Oryctolagus cuniculus: one gene and its partners. The protein of the gene in region 2 interacts with the protein of the main gene of each other region in a biochemical or structural test. Links are inferred from orthologs where the notes say so. Each region holds a gene or a part of one and is shown on either strand. Other genes may lie near its edges.

Region 1 (4,298 bases), about 13 Mb from region 2:
CATTGTACTCTTCTTTCGATTTCTGCTTGTTTAAATCTTTATTAAAAATGGGTAGAGTCATATTTCATGGCTCCTAATATTTATCAATTAGCATGTAATTCAAGTACATGATACTCCTATCTATGACAGGAAGTTTCCAAAAACTGGAGTTTCTGCACACAGATTATGTCTTATAAAACAATAAAATAGTCTGTATATTTTTCTATTTCTCATTAACAGAGAGATAGAGAGAACCTGACCAGGACTAAGTGTTTGATGGACTTTAAATGCATGAAATATAGCAGTTTAGCAAGTTATTCCAGACCTCTGGGTCTTGGTTTTATCATCAGCAAAATGACAACAATGACTAATGACCTTAGAGAGTAATTGTGAACATTAGTGGAGAAACTATATTTAAAAGTTTGTCTCTTACTGACAAGCACTGGATTAATTTCAAATTACCACACCAAACATTTATGGGCAAAATATTATGAACACACAGTGGTAATAGCAGTCAAAAAGATAGGTAAATATTACTATAGAATAGCACACAATGCACCAGGAATAAACAAACTGGGGGTGAGGTGGGGCTAGAGATATAGATACAGCCTCCTTCCTAAAGGGACTGTTAAGTGGCAATTCATCTCAATGGTAGCAAGAAGCTAGCCAGGTGGCAGAGAATACAGGGAATTGCGATGGATTGAGTTATCTGAGTTGGTAGTGTTGAATTAAAGTTATGCAGCAAAGTGGCCACTAGAGGACCACAGGGATGGCAAAAGAGATGTAGGAAGCAGAGTGAATGACAAATGAGAGATCATAGCATGAAAGTATTTTTTTCCAATAATAATCTGCATAATTTGCATCCTCATTTCCTTCAGGTCTGTACTGAACTGCCACTCTACCAGAGAGAGCTCCCTGACCATCTTATCTAAAACAGTACAGCTCGCCCCCATCACAATTTATTTTATAGAAGTGGTGCCTTGAAAAAGTTCCTGGAAAAGGAAATTAAAAGATAATGCCTATTTCTGTGAACTTTTTGAAGATCTCTGCATTCATTTATTGCCTCTCAGCTATAACATCTACTTTTGTTTTGTACTGTTGTATTCCCAGTTCTGAGAACACTGTCTGACATATAAGCTATTCAGCACACACACACACACACAAAATCAAATGGGTGGGTGCACAGTGGGTTGAAAACAGTGTGAAAGACATATAAATGTTGCATAATAATATGAGTAAAGAGACATTTGCTAATACCGTTTTAAAAAGTTCCTGAGTGTTCTGCTGTCATGAAATCCACCTCATTTGTTTATTCTATCTAAATGAACTGAAATTCTGCCCTAGAAAAGGGAGTCATCGCTCATTCTGTCAAACACAACACATGAGTTACAGGAGGAGGAAGAAGTTAACTGCTTATTCAAGGGGAACTGTGGTTAAATTCTTCATAAAGCCTGACAAAAACCTTGTCCTTACCACAAATTTAATGATCATATGGGTAAAGAAAAGCGAATAAATTCAGTTGATATTCTTCCAAGATAAATTTTGCATAACACATGGAACAGAAAAATACACCTCACATTTCAAGACACGAAAAGACAAAGTTCCCATTGCAACAGGCAGACTATATAAAAATCGTAAAGTGAGCCTAGGAAACCATCTTTAAAAAAAATCTGCCAGCTTTACTGTTCAATGTTGCCCCTAGAGACCAGAAAAGGATTTGTATAATAAAGTTAACTCCTGAAGTAATAAATTGAGGATTGGACCTCAAGCCTGTCAATCACTTCTCCTCTAAGAATGGTTTTACAGGAGATGGGAAAGCTTCCATCTCTAAAGCTGACACCAACGTATACGCAAAACCCATTATGTTTGCTCCTCCAAAACTCTGGGAGTTCTGTCTGCCAACATTTAAAAAAAAACTACAATCAATCAGTCAATCAATACAAACACTTAGAGGGTTGAAACCAGTGCAATAATAACTAAATGGCGCATAATTTTGTTGAGAGAAATAAATAAATAGACAGACATAATTTGAACAAGTCCCGATGCCTTCTTCAGGCTCTACAATTTCTGCTTCTTTGCTTTTCTTTTTTTTTTTTTTTTAAGAACAAGAAAAGCAAACTCAACGTTTAAGACATACTTGCTTTTGGAAAATGTATAACGCAATGGCCTCTGCAGGGGAGAGACAGTAAAAGACCGAAAGCCAGCAAAGGGAGTAAAATACGAGTCTTCAAAAAGTTCGTGGAAAATGCGTATTATGGGGGGAAAGAAACCTACGAATCAAATTTGTGTACCAAAATAACTGCATCTTTTAATTTCATATTCCTGGAACTTTCTTAAGTTCCCTTCATTCTGGGATGGAAAGAGAAGGAAGGAAGAATGTCCGCTGAGAGAATAGGAAGGGGCTCGCCAAGGGTCTGGGGCTAAAAGGGCGCGGGGCGGAAGTTGCGGATTAGTGGAAGAGAGAGATTTGTGGGACAGGGAACAACCAGAAATACCGGAGAAAAGGATCCGGGATAAAGAGGGGATGTGAAGCATGACCAGAAGTCGGGAGGATAAAAGAACCACGAATGTCAGAAGCAAGGGTGGGGGCAGGGGGCGGGTGCCGGCCTCCCTTCCCCTGAGGAGGAGGAGAGGAGATGGTGAAGCGATCAGAACCACAGGCGTCAGAAGCATCCTTCACACGCTGTACTCTGAGAATGAATACACCTTGTTTCCACCTCATGCTGAGGCCAGAAGCAACGTTTCCCCGAAGGGAGCAGGATTTATTTGTGAGAATTATCAGTCCCCTTCTTTACACTCACCTTGACGAAGAAGGCAGCGACGATGGCGTGACCGGAAGTGCTTTCCTCTTTTGTTTGGCGGAAGCTTTGGCTTCTGCCGCTGCCACCCCCATTCCCTTCCCTCCAGGCAACTTCCTGTGCCTCTCTAGCAAGCGCTGGGATGCTTTATCTCATTAGCTCCCAGATGAGAAGTTGGATAATGATATAAAGGGCCCAGGACAGGGAATCAGTAAATTTCTGCAAATTCTGACTCTAATCATTTCAGAAACTACAGTATCTCTACCAAATCCCACTTGTTCAGTTCGTCGTGTTGTCTTAGAAATAGACTCCTTTACCTTACTCCTTTAATTCAGACTTCATTATCAATGTCTTGGATGTATACAGTTACATATTTAACCATACTGATTTACTATTTTCTGGGGCAGCAATTTGGAAAATTGGAAAATTTAGAAAATTTATTTTTATCAGCTTTTTAAAAAATAATAAGTATTTGGGGCCGGTACTGTGGCATAGCAGGTTAAAAACCCTGGCCGAAAGCACCGGCATCCCATATGGGCACCAGTTCGAGTCCCGGTTGCTCCACTTCTGATACAACTCTCTGCTGTGGCCTGGGAAAGCAGTAGAAGATGGCCCAAGTCCTTGGGCTCCTGCACCCGCATGGGAGACCCGGAGGAAACTCCTGGCTTCTGGCTTCAGATGGGCTCAGCTCTGACCGTTGCGGCCATTTGGGGAGTGAACCAGCGGAGGGAAGACCTCTTTCTCTCTCTCTGCCTCTGCCTCTGCCTCTCTCTGTAACTCTCTTTCAAATAAATAAAATAAAAATTTTTTTGAATAATATGTATTTGTTTTCATCTGAAAGGGAGTGAAAGTTCTTTCATTCTTAGATGCCCACAGCAATCCATCCCAGCTATACTAGGTGAAAGTCAGGATCCAAAGGAATTCCATCCAAATCTCAGGGATCCAAGTACTTGAGCCATCACATGCTGCCTCACAAGCTGTGTACCAATAGAAAATTGGATCAGAAGCAGAGGTGCGACTTGAACCCAGACCTTCCATTCAGGATGCCAGTGTCCCAAGGAGTGTCCACACCTCCCAGCCACAACTTCTGCCCCTTATTAGCTTTTGTAAAAAATATGATTACTGAATTTTGTCACAGAGTGGTATCCAGAGAATTAGCATATTCAAATTTCTAAATAAAAGTGGACTCATTCAGAAAGCACTCTATTATGTCTATCCTCGTAGGAATTATATTCTTGTGTCCTATGATAAACTATTTAAAGCAATACATGCTGAAATCTGACAAAAACTGTGAAGAAGCAAAACAGGTAAGATAGCAATGTAATTGAGTGGGTGAGTGGGCAATTCCACTTTAGAAGGACTCTGAGAAAGAGAGATGTATGAGCAACATTCGTAGACTTTGTCCACTACCCTCAGTCATCAACATCACTATCTAAGTTCTGACCCTCCACATTTGTCTCCAAATCCCAATTCCTTAGTATTGTGTACAAAAGCTTTGTTAGCCTCTCCCCCTCCCCACAT
Region 2 (4,232 bases):
CACAGGTAAATTCTGCTCCCGTCTCTCCCTCTCCAATCGATCACCGTGGGCAATGCCCTTGCCTTCGGCAGATCTGTGAGGGGCCAGGCAGTGCTGCGGCAGGAACTCAGCTCTGCCGACAGAGCACCTGTCGGCAGGGGCTGGCTCTAATTTCGCAAGTTCTTCTCTCACGTCACGGTTAAAGCTAGAGAACTGGAGGGGCACCCCAGCCAGAGACCTTGCCCCTTTGTCTGGGTCATACAGCTTATCATCTTTCACCTTGCCAGCCTTCCCTCTTACTGGCGGTCGCTCCACAGGCCCAGCCCCCTCCTCCTCACTATCATCTGCCCCGAAACAGTCAATATGTCCATAAGCCAGGGCTCTTCTGCTCCCCGAAGCCCTGTAGTCTCGGGGAGGGTACCTGGAATAGTCCTCATTATCAACATTCAGACTCGGCCCCGAGTTCTCACTGCCGTCCCAAGTACGACGAGTGGTGGAGAATGGCGACCGGCTCCTCTTGGTGACTTGACTGGGGGTTGATCTGTGCATTGGGACTGCTGAGGTCGTCCTTCTCTGGCTGGCAATCCTGTCCTGCTGGCTCCTGCTTGGCCTGAAACTGATATAAGCATGCCTCCTTCCAGACCCTCTGCCTCAATGGGACCCCATTCCCTCTTGCCAGCCTGTGCCATGCAGGCTTGCTACCTTCCTGACCCACTGCTCTAGTGGAACAGGAGCGTTCCCAACACAGTTGGTTTGGGCTAGAAAGGCTCCTGCCCCCACCCCCCCCGACACACACGCATTTTAGAGATGGGAAAGTCCAATCGATCTGAATAAAGGAGCTGGGAGATTTATTTTCACTTCAGCAGGCAGGTTAACACCAGGGGGGGGGGGTCTTTAAAATTACTTTCACTTTCTTCTAAGGCCTGGAGTAACATTCCAGCGAGTGGCAGGTGCAGACCTGGACCACATTCTTGATGCTAGCAGAACGATTGCAAGATTAGCTTTGCAGAAAAGCCAGACTTAGAAGAGAACCTGACACAAAGTGGTGGGGGTGGGGTGGGGCGGAGAGGACCAGACAGTTGAAAGGTAAGTGAAGTACTGTGAAAGTGTGCCAACTAAGGAAAGCGAAAAGACTGCTGTGTGCTTAATGCGCTTTTTTTTTTTTTTAATTTTCTGAGCCCTGCAGACGCACAGGAGAAATGCAGTTTGGAAGAGTGGGAAATACAGATCACTGTGTGTGCATGCGTGCCTGCATGTGTGTCCAGAAGAGATGGACAGGTGGAAAGGAGGGAGCAGCAGGGCTGACTGACTGCCAGCCACAAGGAGATCCATCCTGGAAGTGCATGTGAACATGACAGGCCTGGGGTCGGAGGGTTCAGAGGAGAGGGGGGTGTTCCGGAAGTAAGGAGAGCTACTCAGTGGCTGTCTATGTTGCAGGCAAGGAAGCAAGGGTGTGGTGGCAAGGGAGAGTGTCAGCTTACCCTGATGGGAGACACAACGGAAAGCTGTCCATGTGAGCCAACATGACAGGCATCAGCGGGGTAGGGGGCAGCAGTGGAGAGCGGGGTGTGTGTTCGTGTGTGTGTGTGTGTGTGTGTGTGAACGCACGCATGCGGGAATGGAGGCCAGCCATCAGACTACCTGTATGTGTCACTGTGGCAGGCAGCGAGGTCTCTGGAGGAGGACTTAGGTGTGAGTGTACGTGGGGGCCCCAGCAGAGGGTTATCAATGCACACCCATGGCACACAGAGAGCAGGAGAGCACATGAGAAGGGTATGGGAACAAGCCTAAGTATGTGTGCAGGTGTGTCAGTGGCCAGCCAGGACAGAAACAGGGCAGTCCTGGAGGGTGTGTGTGTGTGGGTGTGTGTGTGTGTCCCCCGCCAGAGCACTGAAGGAGCAAAGGGTCCGTTCTAGAGGTGGGTGTGTGGGAGGCCGTGAGCCCAAGGGGGAAGGCACCGGACGGTCTGAGGGTGTGTGAGAGGGTGTGTGAGAGGGTGTGCGCGCGCCTGAGTGCGCATGCGCGGCAGAGGGGCCACGCACTAGAACATCCAGGATGGAGTGGCCCAGAGGGGACCCGCAATGGAAAGGGGTGTGTGTGCGCGCGCGTGTGTGTGCCACACACGCGCGACCCAGGTCTGGAGTGCAGGGAGGGAGCGCGATGTCATAAAACAAGAAAGGAAAACGTTATCTGCTCAAAGGGCAGCCCCAAACTGATATGGCAAGGGGAGAATGGGGCGAGGGAGAAAGGGCGCGTGGGGGTACAGTTGTTTCCTGAAGAACAATCCCCCCCCCGACAATTCTTTCCCCCAGACCATTTGTACCTGAAATCCTTCACCAGTTAACCATTTGGCAAAACGGCAGCGAAATCGGGAGGGGTGGGGAGAGAAGAAAGGTCACACGGAGTGCACCGCCAAGGGGACTGAGGAGGGATGCAGGGGACGTAGGCGAGGGTCGCGATCACCACTCTCTCCTCTCCAACAGCCACTGGAGCCACTCGAGCGAGGACCGAGCCGCCAGGAAGGGGCTCCGCAGACGAGGCTGCGGGGCCCTCCCAGCGGCCGATGGAGGACACGGGCCTCCCTGGGCAGGCAGGTCCCGAGCCCGCCCCACCCCTTCCCGAGGGGCGAACCTGAAAAGCGGTTCACGGGAATCCCCCTCACCCCTCCGCCCCAAACCCTCCACCCCACCCCGTCCCCGCCGATCGCCCCAAGTGCCAGCGCCGGGCTGAACTGCGGGCCTTCCACTCACCCTGTCCGGACAACCGCAGGCTCCTCAGAGCAGAGCTCTCGGACCTCCGACCGCCACCACTGCCACAGCCGCTGCTCCTGGGTCTCGGGCTCCTCCCCCGTCAGACAGCAACGGAGCCAGTGGGCGGGGACTGCGGCGGCGGAAGTGATTGTTGCGTCGGCTGGGGCCCGCCCTCTTGATGTGGCTGGGCGGCAGCTGCTCTGGGCAAATGAGGGGGCGGGGGCTCCCCAAAAGCATTATTACATGGTAAACGATGAAATCGGCAAGGATACACAAAAGGACAGTGAGAAATGCTAACAGCCAGCGTCAACGAATATTGAACATTTAGACATATGCCCTTCCGCTCTGTTCTTTCTCTGTAATAAAATGTAATCTACAAATTCTGATGAATTCCAATGTGCGGAGTTGTACCACTATGTTACGCTCTGTGTGATATGTTATGGTTTCTATTGGAAGTATTCTGAATGTGAAACTATAGTTAGGGTTGCAGTAGGCTTACATTCCCCCCCCCCAAGCTAATGATCAAAGCAAATTGAAATGGTTTGCATAAGAATTTGTTGCTGTTGATCACAAAATCAAAGTTCTGTATCCAAAAGAAATGACCAAACATGCGGCCCAACACGGGTTCCTATTCTGACAGTTGCAGTGCGTTTTTTTTTTTTTTAATGAGAATTCTACCTTTTGGATTTAACCAATTTCACTAAACTCTGAGCTCTAACTTTGGCAGCCAATGTAGAGATTTCCCATGGACAAAACAGTAACAAAGTTTTACTTTTGCTGGAAGTGTAATGCACACGGAACAAAAAGTTTGGTGGTAAAAACACTCAAGAATAGGATGTGTGAGTTTCAAACCATTAAAGTAACAATGAGGAATAAAAGAGAAAACGGCAAATCTAACAGCAGAAATGGGAAGAAACAATATAAAAAAGGAAGAAAAGGGTCAGAAACAAACATGAAGGTATCAGTATGTACTATGGATTAAGATCAATTACAAAAATATCTTGTTTTGAGCATTACATTTTTAAAAATCCAGTTATATGTTGTTTGTATGAGAGTTTCACCTAAAGGAGAAATAGGAATGCAAGATATATACCAGTTAAATACCAGAAGGGGAAAAACAAAGGAAGGGAGGGAAGGACAGAGAGAGGGAGGGGATGGGAGGAGGGGGAAAAAACACAGAGAGGGAACCAAAGGAAATACACTTGCAACAATATTAGCGTTATAAACATCAAGGCTAAATGAAAAGCTTTAAAGAGAACCAACAGTTGTTCAGTTTATCAAGAAAGATAAACTGGTCACAAAAATCTCTGTGTCAAACAACGTAGTTTCAAAATTTATGACGCAAATACTGTTAAAAATAATAAATAAAGAAAGTCTACAATTACAATGCGAGACTTAACCGTACATGGTATAGACAGTTCCAATAGACTACAAAGAAGGAAATAGAACGATTGAACAACCCAATAAGCCTCATCTACTGTGTATGTATTTTTGTACTCAAGA
Region 3 (3,214 bases), on a different chromosome or scaffold from region 2:
AACTTAAGTACAAAGTTCAATTTACAAGGAAACTCAAGCAGGTGCATTTTCTTACTGTAAAAAAAAAAAATGCCTGGATGATACTTAGGCCACTTAGTCCTTTCTGTGTTGCTGTAACAATACCTCGGAGTGGGTCATTTAGAAACAGCAGAATGTTATCTGGCTCACAATTCTGGAAATGAGCAAGTTCAAGGTAAAAGTGAAGAGAGCCCATGGCGAGAGGACGAGGAGGAGAGGACCGGTCACTGCATACTGACCCGCTTGGGGGAAAATGCATTGCTCATTTGGCAGAGCCCTCGTCACCCCCCAGCACTATTAGGGGACATGAACTTTGCGGGACACTCTAACCGCGGCAGCCTCTCATTAAGACTGCCGCGAGGGGCCCCTTCGGTGGATTCGGTGTGGGAGAGCGACTGCTCCCAGCTAGCATTTTGATCATACTGCACCACAGCGTGGATTAAGACTTCACGGTTAGCACTGGGGTGGTGTGGGTGCCATTATCAGATTGCATTTTCATATTGAATTATAAACAAAAATTTTATGTGACTCTCCTTCAATGGAATGTTAATAAGGCTGTGCTTTGGTGCTGTTATTCAAATAATGGGCTCTGAATTGCTTTCCGCGGAATATATTTGCATTAAAGAGGAACTCAATTTAATTTAGTTCCTAGAGAAGTTTACCCATTTTCCCGGTAGCTTTAAAAAAAAAAAGACGGGGAAATTGAGTTTCCTTGCAAGTCGAGAAGAAACACACTTGCTAAAATCTGTAGGCGCGCCAGCAGATTGCTGATCGCTCGAGTTAATGGAACGACGCGTTGCACAATTGAAAATGCATGCAAACTGCACACGTCGCGGACCCCCTGTGCGCTTTGCTACGGATCCCAGTGGCTGGGGAGTTTGCAATGAAGGCGTCTAGGAGATGCACGTTAGCGCAGCTCGCATCCGCGAGGCCTCCGAGGAAGTGGGAATGTCTCCGGGTCCTGCCCCGGGCGTGGCTGCGGGCCCAGGGCCGTGCCCGCGGGCGCCGCGTTCCCCGGCCCCCCGCCGCGGGCAGTGGCCGCCAGCCCCTCGTGTCCCGCACACCCCGGAGGACACGAGGGCGGGCGCCAAGGTCAAGGACGCCCTGCGGCTCGCGTGTCTCGACCTCCACGGTCTGCGCCGCAGCGGGCGCTCCAGCCTCCCACGCCGTGGCGGCCTCGGCCACTCCATCCACAAAGGCGCCCGATGCTAAACCTCTTAATACCGCCCGTAACCGCCCCGCGCCCGTGCGGGCCTGAAATTAGCCGCACCCTAGAGCAGGAGTTTGGTGGTCTCTTTCTAACCCGATTAACCCATCACTCCCACCAGCAGCACCGCGCCGCCCTTCCGCAGGCGCGGCTGCGCATGCCCAGCGCCGCCCCCCGTGACGCAGCACGCACGGGGACGCACGCCGCGTGGCCCCGCCCCCTGGCGCCTCGCGCCGACCCACAATCCCCGCCGCTTCCGGCCGTTGCGGCCCCCGCCCCGCTGCGGCCCCCGCCCCGCTGCCTGGAGCCATGTTGCAGAAAGCCCGGAGCCGGGGCCGGTCCAGTTCCCAGGCCGACAGGGACGGGGGCCGCGGCGCCGCCGAGGAGACGCCGAGCACGTCCCGCGGGCCGGGCGGCTCGCAGGAGGCGCTGAGCGCCCCGTCGGTGGGGCCCAGGACTCAGAAGCAGCTGGAGCTGAAGGTGGCGGAGCTGGTGCAGTTCCTGCTGGTCAAGGACCAGAAGAAGATCCCCATCAAGCGCACGGACATCGCGAAGCACGTGCTGGGCGACTACAAGGACGTCCTGCCGGACCTGCTGCGGCTGGCCGGCGAGCGGCTGCAGTACGTGTTCGGCTACAAGCTGGTGGAGCTGGAGCCCCGCAGCAACGCGTACATCCTGGTGAACACGCTGGAGCCGGTGGAGGAGGACGCGGCGGTGCGGGGCGACCAGGGCACGCCCACCACGGGCCTGCTGATGATCGTGCTGGGGCTCATCTTCATGAAGGGCAACGCGGTGAAGGAGACGGAGGTGTGGGACTTCCTGCGGCGGCTGGGCGTGCACCCCACCAAGCGGCACGTGGTCTTCGGGGACCCCAAGAAGCTGCTCACCGAGGACTTCGTGCGGCAGCGCTACCTGGAGTACCGGCGGATCCCGCACACGGACCCCGTGGACTACGAGTTCCAGTGGGGCCCGCGCACCAGCCTGGAGACGAGCAAGATGAAGGTGCTCAAGTTCGTGGCCAAAGTGCACAACCAGGACCCCAAGGACTGGCCGGCGCAGTACTGCGAGGCCCTGGCGGACGAGGAGAGCCGGGCCCGGCCGCAGCCCCAGCCCAGCGGGCCGGCCGCCACCTGCTGAAGCCCGCGGCGCGGGCGGGAGGGGCGCCCGGGGGTGGGTGGGTGGGTGGGCTCGCCTCCCCCGGCCCCTGCTGTCTGCTCCCAGGCCGCCGCCTCGAAGCAGGCTTGGGGGAGCGGCGGCTTTTGCCCCCACCCCCGGTTTAGACTTTGCCGTCGTGTTGTTATTTTGTATAAAATCTTGCTGGCTTTGTAAGACTAACCGGAGCGCTGCGTGCCGTGCCCTGGGACAGGTGTTTAAGAAAGCGCGTGAGCGCAGGACCTCGGTGCCGAGAATATAAAAGCAGAGAAGTGATTTCACGTCTCCTACCCCCATTTGTAAGGAAAATAAAGCTGTTTGCAAAGTTGACCGTGCGACTAGAACCGTCTGTCCTTGTTAGAGTAACACGCGGATTTCACAGGCTTCCTGCCCCGGGCCGCGGCCGTGACTCCGAGCGATGGCCTCCTGTGCCTCCAAGAGGGTTTTGGGCTCACGATTGTTACTCAGCTGTGTGGCTCATCGCTCAGTTCCATTGGGCGGCTTTTCTTCCCTCTAACTACGTAGCCGTTAACGATAAATGCTGTATTTTAAAGTGGTTAGTCATGCGCGTTTTTAAATCTCTTGCATATTAATGTTCATAGCGTTCTGTAGAAGTTGATGTAAAAAAAGTATTTGCGTAGCTTCACGGTGTGAAATGTGTGTCTCGGTCAGTGACCCACCTGCCTGCCGGACGGCCCAGGTGTGTGAACTGACGGGGCCTAGCCTGTGAGGTGGCCGATGCCGGCGTGAACAGGGAAGTTTACCTAAGACTCCTGTCACAGCCCCTTTGTAAAGTTATTCAGAAAGAAGATTTTTTTTCTTCTTAGTCCGGAGCTG

The links.
Region 1: the proteins of PJA1 (region 2) and MAGED1 form a complex in vitro, tested with the Homo sapiens proteins (2 studies listed by BioGRID, with this or other methods). The link is inferred for Oryctolagus cuniculus from reciprocal best matches to the Homo sapiens genes PJA1 and MAGED1.
Region 3: the proteins of PJA1 (region 2) and NSMCE3 form a complex in vitro, tested with the Homo sapiens proteins (2 studies listed by BioGRID). The link is inferred for Oryctolagus cuniculus from reciprocal best matches to the Homo sapiens genes PJA1 and NSMCE3.

The regions. Positions count from the first base shown.
Region 1 is NC_091453.1:36,245,580-36,249,877, reverse strand, and holds the start of MAGED1 (melanoma-associated antigen D1), read right to left. Parts: upstream 2,818-4,298; 5' UTR 2,781-2,817; intron 1-2,780. UniProt on the Homo sapiens protein: Involved in the apoptotic response after nerve growth factor (NGF) binding in neuronal cells. Inhibits cell cycle progression, and facilitates NGFR-mediated apoptosis. May act as a regulator of the function of DLX family members.
Region 2 is NC_091453.1:49,098,592-49,102,823, forward strand, and holds the start of PJA1 (E3 ubiquitin-protein ligase Praja-1), read right to left. Parts: upstream 2,856-4,232; 5' UTR 2,730-2,855; intron 2,494-2,729; exon of another isoform or gene 2,303-2,493; intron 596-2,302; 5' UTR 529-595; coding exon 1-528. UniProt on the Homo sapiens protein: Has E2-dependent E3 ubiquitin-protein ligase activity. Ubiquitinates MAGED1 antigen leading to its subsequent degradation by proteasome. May be involved in protein sorting.
Region 3 is NC_091443.1:11,538,126-11,541,339, forward strand, and holds NSMCE3 (non-structural maintenance of chromosomes element 3 homolog), read left to right. Parts: upstream 1-1,478; 5' UTR 1,479-1,534; coding exon 1,535-2,362; 3' UTR 2,363-2,707; downstream 2,708-3,214. UniProt on the Homo sapiens protein: Component of the SMC5-SMC6 complex, a complex involved in repair of DNA double-strand breaks by homologous recombination. The complex may promote sister chromatid homologous recombination by recruiting the SMC1-SMC3 cohesin complex to double-strand breaks.